Linked DNA regions of Cricetulus griseus. The protein of the gene in region 3 interacts with the protein of the main gene of each other region in a biochemical or structural test. Links are inferred from orthologs where the notes say so. Each region holds a gene or a part of one and is shown on either strand. Other genes may lie near its edges. The genes, in order: Nppa, Nppb and Npr3.

Region 1 (3,906 bases), about 340 Mb from region 3:
ACTGGACTGAGAGGGTGATGGGCTCCTCCACTTGTCAGACACAGAGCACACACTGTGGAACATGGTGACACAGAGACGTGGAGAGCACTCGGAGCGTCCTCCATCCCTGCCCCTTAATGGAACCCTGAGAACACAGAAACTCAGTGGATGGCACTTATGTCCTCTCCAGTTCCACTCTTGAAAATTGACTTTGACCAAAGGAGATGGGCGGGCCTTGAGATTGCCCTCCTGGAGCATGACTGCTCAGAACGTCACCTCTCCTAGGGCCACCTCTGCGCTTCAGATATGGCACAGGACAGAAAAGTGGCAGAAGGCCTCAGAGCCATTTCTCAAGTCTGTGCCTGATTCAAAGGCCATCAATCTCCAGGAGACAGGCCATGTGGCACACACCGCAGGGGACCTGAGTCCCCCAGTAGGGATGCTTTGCTGAGTCCTCTTTGCTCATAATTCACAGCCACACACTTAAGCATTGAGGGCATCCCAGGGACTCATCCGGAGGCGACAGAGTTTGGACCCAGAGTTCCCACAAAGACTTGCACTGATTTCATATTTCAAGTAGAGATCGGCTAGCCCAAATTGGTTGCCTGCAGCCCCCAGCTTTCTCAAAGGGCTCTCTCTCTCTCTCTCTCTTTCTCCTGTTTTAGAGAACATCACCACAGACACCTCTTGTGACCTCCAGCCATTGTGGTCACATGACAACTTCAGCAGGCAGCCACAGCCTGAGGACGGAACTAGCCATCCTGAAAACAGCTATCTGGGCCCTGAATGGCGGGAGTGGATTAGAATGTGTGGGAATGGAATTCGGGTCTGCTGCAGCCCGTAAGTGAACAGAAAGGAGAAAACACACGCTTGTCAGACAGCAAAGCTTGCGCAGTGTTGAGTGTGGTGACACTGAAGTCTCGAGAGCATTCAGTGACTGCCATGCTCCTGCAGATGCCAGAGGAGTCAAGACTTTGATGGCTCACTTCCTTGGCCTTGGAGGTCGCGAAGAATGTTATGGAGAACTGTGTGCCCTCCCTTCCATCACCTCCCTTCTTCCCTCTAATTCCCTGGGAAGCTGGGACCATTTTACACTTTGTACTCAGACTCAGAGCTTTTGAAAACAGCAAGGCCAAGAAAGAGAAGCGGAGGCATTCTTCAAGCCTGTCTGTCCCCTTGCACCTTGGACCAAGTCTTGGGAGACAAGAACAATGGGCTTCAGAGGAAATACGCTCTATCGTCCCTTGGTGTTTATACTTGTAGCTGAATTCTTAGGGCCTGTATCATGCTGGCTTCCTGGCTGACTTCACACTCTAAAATAAAATAACTCTTTCACCTGACTGCTAACACGCATATCTAGGGTGGGGGTGGGCTGTCGGGGGCCAGAGGTCCACCCACGAGGCTGATGAATCAGGTGTGAAGCCAGCTCCAGCATGTGCACTCCCTAGCTGGTCTAGCTGGCCTCCCAGCTGCCTGTCATTTCCTCCCCTCCCACCCTTATTTGGAGCCCCTGACAGCTGAGCTGCAAGCAGGGGGAGCTGGGTGCAGGCCAGCCGTCACCCTCTGCTTCCCTGCATGGGTCCCGTTGCCAGGGAGAAAGAATCCTGAGGCGCGCGCCCGGGGAGATAACCAAGGACTCTTCTGCTCTTCTCACACCTTTGAAGTGGGGGCCTCTTGAGGCAAATCAGCAAGAATGTGACTCTTGCAGACGAGGGTCTCGGGGAGGGGGGCTACTGGAGCTGCTCAAGGAGAAGGGGCCGTGACAAGCTCTGCTGGGCTGATAACTTTAAAAGGACATCTTCTGCTGGCTCCTCACTCCATCGCTTTATCGCTGCAAGTGACAGAATGGGGAGGGTTCCAGCCCTCCTGCGTTCTCAGAGAGCTGGGGGGCTATAAAAACGGGAGGCACTGGGCAGCTGGGAGACAGTGACGGGCAAAGGCTGAGAGAGAGAAGCCGGAGAGGAGTGAGCAGAGACAGCAAGCTTCAGATCGTGCCCCAACCCTCGCCAGCATGGGCTCCTTCTCCATCGCCATGGGCTTCTTCCTGCTCCTGGCCTTTTGGCTTCCAGGCCATATTGGAGCGAACCCTGTGTACAGTGCAGTGTCCAACACAGATCTGATGGATTTCAAGGTAGGGCCAGGAAGTGGGGCACAGACTGGGTCTCTTTGGTGCTGAGTGCATTCCTCTAAGACATCCCCCTTCCCCGGCACTTATTTTTCCTTTGTAAAGAACCTGCTAGACCATCTGGAGGAGAAGATGCCATTAGAAGATGAGGTCGTGCCCCCTCAGGCCCTGAGTGAGCAGAACGATGAGGCACCGGGGGCAGTGCTCAACTCCCTCCCTGAGGTGCCTCCCTGGACTGGGGAGGTCAACCCACCGCAGAGAGAAGGCAGTACCCTTGGGCGCAGCTCCTGGGAGCCCTCCGATAGATCTGCTCTCTTGAAAAGCAAACTGAGGGCTCTGCTGGCTGCCCCTCGGAGCCTACGGAGGTCCAGCTGCTTCGGGGGTAGGATCGACAGGATTGGGGCCCAGAGCGGACTAGGGTGCAACAGCTTCCGGGTAAGAGGAACTGTGGATGGAAATGGCATGGAGGTTGGGTGGGAGAGCAAACTCAATACTTCGAGGGAGTATCTTTGGCAGCAGAGAGACCAGTGCAAGTGTTTATTCCTTCTGAGAGTTCTGCCCCACTATGTGGATGTTCCAGAAGTCTCAAGACCATGCCAACAGCTGCTACAGCCTCTGAGCACCAGCTGGGAAGTTAGAATAAAGGCAAAGTCACCTTTGCGCTGCTGATGGGCAGTTAGTGTTCTTCCCACAATTGTAAGAGCCTGGCATATTTCAATGAAATGGACTAAATCTGCCTGCCTTAACGTTTATGGGTTACTTGTTTGCCAGTTTATGACAGGGGACCATTGGGCTGGACTGTGGCTGGTGGGAAATAGGGGATCACTGGCCAAGTTGAATGTTTTAGTACAGTAAAGCCAGATCATCAAACCAATATATTTTTCTCTTTGTAGTACCGAAGATAACAGCCAGGGAGGAAAAGCAGCCAGATTTGCTGGGGCAGATTGCAGAAGACCCTAAGCCCCTATGGTGTGTCATGCAGCTTGGTCTCATCGTCACTGAGGTGTGGCGAACACCCTGCTGGAGCTGCTGCTTCCTGTCTTCATCTATCACGACTGATGCTAAATGTAGATGGGTGGTTTCAATGGGGCTCTCCCTCTCCCACCCTGCATATTAAGGTAGATCCTCACCCCTTTCGGAAAGCAGTTGGAAATAATTTTTTTTGAATAAACTTCAGCACCAAGGACAGAAGCCGAGGTCTGGGTGCTTCTTTCACTTTTGGCCCTCATTCCCCGGTGTCCCCCACCTTACCCTTTGCTGTCATTTCCCCCTTCCTGACTCTTCTTGGTGAGTGTGTGTGTGTGTGGGGGGGGGCTCAAGACACAGTGCTCTGCCACTCACTCCAGCCCCAGTCACAGATGGCGGAAAAGTCCACCCAGACTGAAAGGTCATTTATTTCCAACTCATCTTTTCCTGGCGGCAGGTACTGACGCTTGTGCTCAGCTGACAATTCCTTGCACCCCTCTCACTTTTTGATTACAGCTTGGGTGATTTTAAGGAGCATTTAGAGAACCAGGGACTGTCCAGATCTTCTGTTACCTGAGCACCAGCTGCTGCAGCCATGTGAATTACACTTTCAGTTTGGATAAGAGTGGAGGGTGGGTTACATAGTGGGGAGCAGTGAAGGACGGTTTCCAGGCTGAGTGGCAAGTTCAAATGCTTTGTGAATGACCACACCGACTGGTGCATCTCTTCCTATTTATCTATCTCACCAACGCATCCCTACCTATCCACCTATCTCACTAATGCATCCCTACCTATCTTACCGCTGTCATCAATCTGTGCCAGAGATCAAACTCAGA
Region 2 (3,395 bases), about 340 Mb from region 3:
GAGCTCATGTAAACGTGGGTCCCAGGGACTCAGGCTCCACCCCAAGCTTGCAGAAAAACCTGATAGCTGTCTTCAAATGTGACTGGTTTTGGAGTCATGAGCTGCTGCTGCTCTTTCTTTCTTTCTTTCTTTCTTTCTTTCTTTCTTTCTTCCTTCCTTCCTTCCTTCCTTCCTTCCTTCCTCTCTTTCTTTCTTTCCTCCTCCTCCTCCTCCTCCTCCTCTCCTCCTCCTCCTCCTCCTCCTTCTCCTCCTCCTCTTCCTCCTCCTTCTCCAGGCTGTCCTGGAACTCACTCTGTAGACCAGACTGGCCTCAAACTCACAGAGATCTGCCTGCCTTTGCCTCCTGAGTGCTGGGATTAAAGGTGTGCACCACCACCTCCTGGCAAGTCATGAGCTTCTAACTATCCCTTTTTCCCATCTGTGCCATAACCCACTGCTACTCCTGGTCACTGTCCTTCACCACGCTGACACTTGTTAACACAGATTCTGCGGATGGGGTGGTGACATTGGTCACACATGTTTGGGAGGTATGTATCCCAGGGCCTTTTCCCCTCAGAATCTCATCTCTCATCTGAGATGGGAGGCTGGTGTGTTAGGGAGAAGTCACTCATGGGTGATCTGATAAGAACACTGGGGAGAGGCCCTTCCCACACCTCTAGTGTCTAAGCACCCTTTCTCTTCCACTCATGGTGGGGGAGGAGACTCTGGCACCTGGAGATGCCCCCAGAAGGCATTCCTACATGACCTCATCTCTGGGCCAGGCTCTCAAAATTCTATCCTAATCAGTTCTCCTCATTAAGGGACAGAGAGAGGGTCGGAATTCCAGAAGTTCTTTGTCATATCCCAGTTTTTAATCAGTTGACACTAGAGAGTGAGCATCCTTGGGCAAAAAGTTTCACAAGGTTTTGGGGGGTGTGAGAGACCCTTCTGGCCTGGAAATGGGTTGAGGAGAGAGTGGCAGAGTTTGTGTGACGTTCACTTGTGGAGATCAGAACCACGGACAGCTACTAGGGTGCCGGGAAGCGGTGCAGTCCAGCGGTCCAGCCCAGCGGTCCAGCCAGGTGCTCGGAAGCCGGGCAGGGCCTAGATTACAGGTTCTGAGGACACTCTCTCGGGGAAGCTGGTGATGGTGGGTGTTGCCAGGGAGTGTTTTCAATGAGTCACCCCATAAGCCCCACACTCGGCTGCAGGCGAGGGAAGCTGGGGTTCTTCTCCATGCCATCTCCAGTAGGGGTGGGGCAGGATGTTAAAGACACTCAGACGATTACATGAAAGGAGGGAGCATGTTAGTGTCCCCCGCACACTCCTACCCTAGCCCAGCCCATTTCTATACAAGGCCCGCTCTCCACAGCCTCCACCCACAACGAATACCCCACACAGGCACAGAGGGGGGAATTCTCAGGCCCTGAGCTCAGCAGGCAGGAATGTGGCTGATAAATTAGAGATAACCCCACCCCCTACTCCATGAGAGGGCTGGCCGGACACCCAGCTCCAGGATAAAAGGCAGAAGCACCGTGGCTGAAGACGCCAGAACACAAGCTGCTTGAGGAGGTGGAACAAGGCACCGCCACAGCAGCCTGGTCCATCACTTCTACGACATGGATCTCCAGAAGGTGCTGTCCCGGATGGTTCTGTTCCTGCTTTTTCTTTATCTGTCACCGCTGGGAAGTCACTCCCACCCCCTGGGCAGTCCCAGCCAGTCTCCGGAGCAATCCAAGATGCAGGTGAGCGCTGAGGGGCTGCATAGACGGATGGGGTCTGCCTGAAGGGTTTGGGCAGCGGCAAAGAAAAGACCTCATGTCCTTTGGGAATTAGCCTTGTGAGACTCGGGAAGCAGCAAGATTGAGTACCAGGACTCTTAACCAATGGGCACCATGGAGGAAAGGGAGAGCCAGGAGTGTGTTTCTGAGGCCTGGGTTCCCCACTCTCATCACAGACACTGCTGAACCTGCTGAGGGAAAAGGCAGAGGCGGTGGCTCGGGGGCAGCTCCTGAAGGACCAAGGCGTCACAAAAGCACCTCCCCAAAGCACCCTTGGGTCTCAAGACAGCACCCTCCAGGTCCTACAGAAACTTCAAAACTCCAAGAAGATGCATAATTCGGGCTGCTTTGGGCAGAGGATAGACCGGATCGGCTCAGTCAGTCGTCTGGGCTGCAACGGTGAGCTTCTGCCTTGCCACTTCCCTGCAAGCTGTGCCCCCACCCCATCCCCACACATGGCATGCCACCAGCAGAAGTCCCTAGGTCTGCTATCCGGCATACTTGCATAGCTCTCCACCTTGCTGACGGTCTTCAGGACCAGGCAACCTGTCAGGAAATGTCACATGGGTGCTTCGTTACATCCTCACAAGTCACCACCTCCTACCTTCCATCAGAGGGGTCAAATGCACCTCGGGGTGCAGACTGCCTGTTGTTTGACCACCCCTTCATAGAGGAAAGAGCATTTCCTCTCTGTTTTCTCCACACTGAATTGTCAAAGGCAAAGGGCACAACGGACCCACTTTACAGTAGAAACTGAGGCCCAGTGAGATTGCTTTTTCCAAAGCCGTAAACTTCAACATCCTTTGGGGACTGCAGGTGGAGGGCAGCTCAGCCCTTGCCTCAGTTTCACCCCCAAGTCTGACATCTCCCTGTCTCTTTTCCCCATAGTGCTGAAGCGGTATTAGGATGAGCTCCCAGTTGCAGACACCGCCCGGCTCCTGACTCCACCAAGGGCTCCTTCCCCAACCCTGGGACCCCCTTTTGAAGTGATCCTATTTATTTATTTATTTATTTTTATTTATTTGGTTGTTTTCTACAAGACTGTTTCTTACCTTTGAGCACAAACTTTTCACAATGTAATAAACACGGCATTATTTCTTGCTTTTGAAAATGATTTGTCTCTCTGTGTTTCAATCAGTCTCTTGTCTTTTTCAGTTTGTGGGGTTTTTTGTTGTTGTTGTTTTGTTTGTTTGTTTATTTTTTGATATGGGGTCTCTCTTCATAGACTCTGCTGTCCTGGAATTCACTCTGTAGACCAGGCTGGCCTTGAACTCATAGAAATCTGCCTGTCTCCTTAAAGGCATGCCACTATGCCTGACTCTAGTCACTCATCTTAACAAGGAAAGAAGCAAGCCCCACAAAATATGTTTCCCGCAAGGTCCCAGGGCATCTTAATGGTGGAAGAAAGACAGCCCAAGGGCTGGGCCAGTGAGGTGTCTGAGCTTTCCTTTCCCTCCCAGTTTTTAACATTGTGAGGTGCCAATCCACACCAGAAACACCTGAGACTCCTCACAGAATCTGTTCTTCAAAGTGTGTGTTTGATTCCGGGGTGCAGAGCAATAAGAGGAGGGGATCATAGCATTCGCGCCCCCCCCCCCCCCGCCTGGAACTCCATCATCAAACACTCTGACTAAT
Region 3 (4,104 bases):
GGCATTTCCTGGAGTGGAATCTTCGGAAGCAACAAGTTTCGCTTTTCTGGTCTTGGTGACCCTGCGGAGGGGTCTGTGCCCTGAGACACGGCGACGGCTGAGGCCGCTATGTGTCCCAGCAGCCCGGAGAGGGGGACCCACGCCTAGTGGGGGAAGGACGGGTGCGGAAACCGCCCCGGCCAGATGGGCATACTAGGTCCGCAAATGAATCTTCTTCCTGCACTGGGACCTTGTTCCTTGTTCCCCGACCTTGCTCCGGGGACCTGTAAGGTCAGGTGCGGGACAGAACTGGGCGCATCCAGACAGAACCAGGCCGGAGCAAGAAAAGAGGTGAGAGCAAGTGAGACCTGTGGAATTTTGCACCGAAGCCACCAATTTGGAGACACCTCGCCCCCTTTTGCAGATTGTGTGTATGCGTGTGTGTTTGTGCATGTGTGCGCGCGCATTTCTTTCCTTTCAAACTTACATACATTTTTTTTTTTTTTTTTTTTTTAAAGCGGGGGCTAGAGTGAGCAGAGCCAACGAGAGGCGGGGACCTTAGAGTCGCGCTGCGCTGCGAGGGCTCCCGCGGGTGTAGACGTGGGCGGCTGCGGCTTTGGGCCAAAGCTGAGCACCGGCAAGGAGTGGGGCTTAGGGACCCGGCAACAGCGAGTAGGCCAGGGGTGCGGGGAGGAGCCCTGATGTAAGAATGTTAATGAGAGGCTCCCCCAGCCCAGCCCCCACCCTTCCCCACCCCACCCACCCCACCCGCTGCAGAGACAAGCCCGGCCTCGGCGCGCCATGTGTGGTAACGCGCTCCGCCGCTGCCACGCTATTTAAACGCCGGCTATGGATCCAGGAACCCGCGCGAATCAATGGGATCAAACGCGAAGGAGGTGCACCATCAATTACAAGCACCTGGACAAGTCTAACTTTTTTTTTTCTTTACAAATAACGCCTTCAAATGCAACCTTAGCAACGCCCAAATAAGAAGCCACCTCTGAGCCAAATAGCCTATGTGCAAAGGGAGGGAGAATATATATATTTATAATAAGTCTATACGTATATTACAGACGCACAGGTTTACATTCGGTGAACTTTTCTTTTTATCTTTGCTTTTATTTTTTTCTTTTGAAAACCTAGGGACACTGCAGAGGAGTCTTCCTCTCTCTTTTGGCGCGTTACTCAAGGGGGTATTCTGTTTACTCGGAGTGCCCAAGAGGGCGCAGGGACAGAGGAAAGAGGCAGGGTGGGCGGGGGGCAGAGGGCGAGCCGCGGCCAAGGCTAGGGCTTGCTGGCAACACGATGCGGTCCCTGCTGCTGCTTATTTTCTCGGCGTGCGTGCTGCTGGCCCGGGCGCTACTGGCTGGCGGCGCGAGTGGTGGAGGTAGGGACACCGGGCCAGGCAGCGGGCGCCGGCAGAGAGAGGCGCTGGCGGCTCAAAAGATCGAAGTGCTTGTGCTGTTGCCCCAGGACGATTCGTACTTGTTCTCGCTGGCCCGGGTGAAGCCGGCCATCGAGTACGCTTTGCGTAGTGTGGAGGGCAACGGCACCGGGAGGAGGCTACTGCCTCCGGGCACTCGCTTCCAGGTGGCTTACGAAGACTCGGACTGCGGCAACCGTGCGCTCTTCAGCCTGGTGGACCGCGTGGCGGCGGCGCGCGGCGCCAAGCCGGATCTTATCCTTGGGCCGGTGTGCGAGTACGCCGCAGCGCCGGTGGCCCGGCTGGCGTCGCACTGGGACCTGCCGATGCTGTCTGCAGGAGCGCTGGCCGCCGGCTTCCAGCACAAGGACACGGAATATTCTCACCTCACACGCGTAGCTCCTGCCTACGCCAAGATGGGCGAGATGATGCTCGCCCTGTTCCGCCACCACCACTGGAGCCGCGCTGCCCTGGTCTACAGCGACGACAAACTCGAGAGAAATTGCTACTTCACCCTCGAGGGGGTCCACGAGGTTTTTCAGGAGGAGGGTTTGCACACTTCTGCCTACAATTTCGACGAGACCAAAGAGTTGGACCTGGACGACATCGTGCACTACATCCAGAGCAGTGAGCGAGGTGAGTAAGGGCGCGATCTGGACGCTTGGCTCCCACCCAGAGGTTCTCGGTGGCTCCCCACAAGTCCCATCACCTCAGCCTTTTGCAGATCTCACCCTCTCCCGAAACCCGAACATCCCAAGAGGGTGCGCGCAGGGACTTGCTCAGGTGTGAGCTGCCTGACCTAGGGGCGGGTTGATGGTAGCCCATCGCTGTGCAAGGGGTGTGCCTAGGGAGTCCTGGGGGAAGTGGCTGGCCATTCGAGGGAACCTCTGAGGTCCCCAAGTATGTCAGTTGTTGCCAAACACCAAGAATTTTCCCTATCCGACAGCTCTGGGGTCCCTAGCGGTCCAGGAACTTACTCTGTCCATTGCCGTCGAGCTCCCCCCTGATAGGGTGACATCCAGCAGCAGAGCGCAGCTTCTTGACTACCTGGGGGTCTCCCGGCTACCCTGGCTGCTCTTTTCACAGACCCTAAGTCTCTTTTAAAGGCTCTTTGTGTTACTCTCCCATGCTCCCTCTAGTCTCATATAAACAAGCTTCTGTGGTTTCCACCGAAGTGCGTCGCGGTGTCTGGACTCAGGCGACACTCACTTCCCCCGGGTGCGTTGGGCTTCGCAGACTCTGAAAGAGCGCAGAGCTAAGCTTGGCCGGAGCGCGTGCGGGACGATCCTGCGTGGAGCCTCCTTCCCACTGGTCCCCTTCCCGGGCTTTTCTCCCCGAGTAGCTGAGGGCTTGAGACAATAGCCAAACTAGACAGAGAGCTCAGTACTGGGTGTTGTGACCTTGGTTAGAGGGAGCGTGTGAACCTCCCCCCACTCCCACAGCTGCCACGTTTCTGTCGTGAAGACAGCTGAAGGAGTCGGAATCCCCGCAGAGGGCAAGGAGTCGGGGTGTCCCGACTGGGGTTCACAACATTCCGGGAATCCCGCCTCTGCTTTCCCTTGGTGCGCAGGCGCCCAGAATGTCCGTGGTATTCCCCCTTTCCCCCCTCCTTGCAAAGCTTCCGACGCCCCGGGGTGCTGTTCGGTTGAGACCTAGGGAGACCGGAGCCAGCTAGGCACCCGACTTGTCTTCAACTTGAACGTCTGGGGCCTGCCTGTTTCGGGCCAGAGTAGCATGAAGCATGGAGATGCAGAACAGGTGAGGTGGGCAGAGCAAGCTTCCAGAGTGGTATCACCGCGGCCTCTCTCTCCAACTTGGCCACTCTGAACTGAAAGAGCATGCCCTGTAGAGCCAAGAGGTGTTGTAGACGGTGTGGACAGGACAAGTCTGACCATAAGAACTCCAGGCTGTCTGTGCAGAATCATTGTTAGGTGCTGAAGCAGGGCACTGGTTAAGTGAAAGGAAAGTTCTGCCCTATGTGGCAGATTGCCCCTGCTGGGTGAGAAACCCACATCTACTTTTCTCCCACTCTCAGTCATCAGGCTACTGCAGCCTCTTGTGGTCCTGGTAACTCCTTCAGCTCTGGGCTCCCCAAGATGGAGCTAAAACCTGTAGACTTCCTAGGACAGGCTGGAGATGGGGTGTGACCCCTCCTGGCTAGATCAGAGGTTTGCAAGCCTTATCATTGCCTTGTTGAACCCAGTGAGACATTGACCTTGGCACAGTGGCCTGGGATGAGAGGCCTGGCAGATCTGTCTGTCCTGCTGTGTGGCCCTGTGCACTGTGCTCCGGAGCCCTGGTGCTGGGAGGGTCAGAGTGTGGTAGAGGGCCCAGGGATTGGTGCGGCCTGGTTTAAAAGGACTCCAGCTTGCATGCGGCCCATGCTATTATTTTTAAATACACCACGTTTGGAGGTATACCCAGATCTCTTTGCTTTTATTTACCGTCCATTTTAATGGTGAATGTTTGCTAGACCGGTGTGTGTATCTTATAGGTGATAAGGTTATAATCGTACTATTCTTTCTCTAAAATCTGTCTCTAACAGTGAGTGATATGGCAGATTTTCCAAAATACAAATAAAAATAGTTTCTTTTCCAGGCTGACCTCCTCTCAATTTCCTACTCTTTGTAGAGAAAGTGTAAGTTCTCAGGGTGTTTCCTGTAGATTTGAACCTTTACTTCGGAGGGGGCGTCACGGGGTTT

What was found.
Region 1: the proteins of Npr3 (region 3) and Nppa form a complex in vitro, tested with the Homo sapiens proteins (4 studies listed by BioGRID, with this or other methods). The link is inferred for Cricetulus griseus from reciprocal best matches to the Homo sapiens genes NPR3 and NPPA.
Region 2: the proteins of Npr3 (region 3) and Nppb form a complex in vitro, tested with the Homo sapiens proteins (4 studies listed by BioGRID, with this or other methods). The link is inferred for Cricetulus griseus from reciprocal best matches to the Homo sapiens genes NPR3 and NPPB.

Annotation. Positions count from the first base shown.
Region 1 is NC_048595.1:8,467,198-8,471,103, reverse strand, and holds Nppa (natriuretic peptides A), read left to right. Parts: upstream 1-1,421; 5' UTR 1,422-1,990; coding exon 1,991-2,110; intron 2,111-2,209; coding exon 2,210-2,539; intron 2,540-2,997; coding exon 2,998-3,009; 3' UTR 3,010-3,295; downstream 3,296-3,906.
Region 2 is NC_048595.1:8,480,009-8,483,403, reverse strand, and holds Nppb (natriuretic peptides B), read left to right. Parts: upstream 1-1,503; 5' UTR 1,504-1,598; coding exon 1,599-1,724; intron 1,725-1,936; coding exon 1,937-2,159; intron 2,160-2,648; coding exon 2,649-2,665; 3' UTR 2,666-2,874; downstream 2,875-3,395.
Region 3 is NC_048595.1:344,989,489-344,993,592, reverse strand, and holds the start of Npr3 (atrial natriuretic peptide receptor 3), read left to right. Parts: upstream 1-1,284; coding exon 1,285-2,038; intron 2,039-4,104. UniProt on the Homo sapiens protein: Receptor for the natriuretic peptide hormones, binding with similar affinities atrial natriuretic peptide NPPA/ANP, brain natriuretic peptide NPPB/BNP, and C-type natriuretic peptide NPPC/CNP.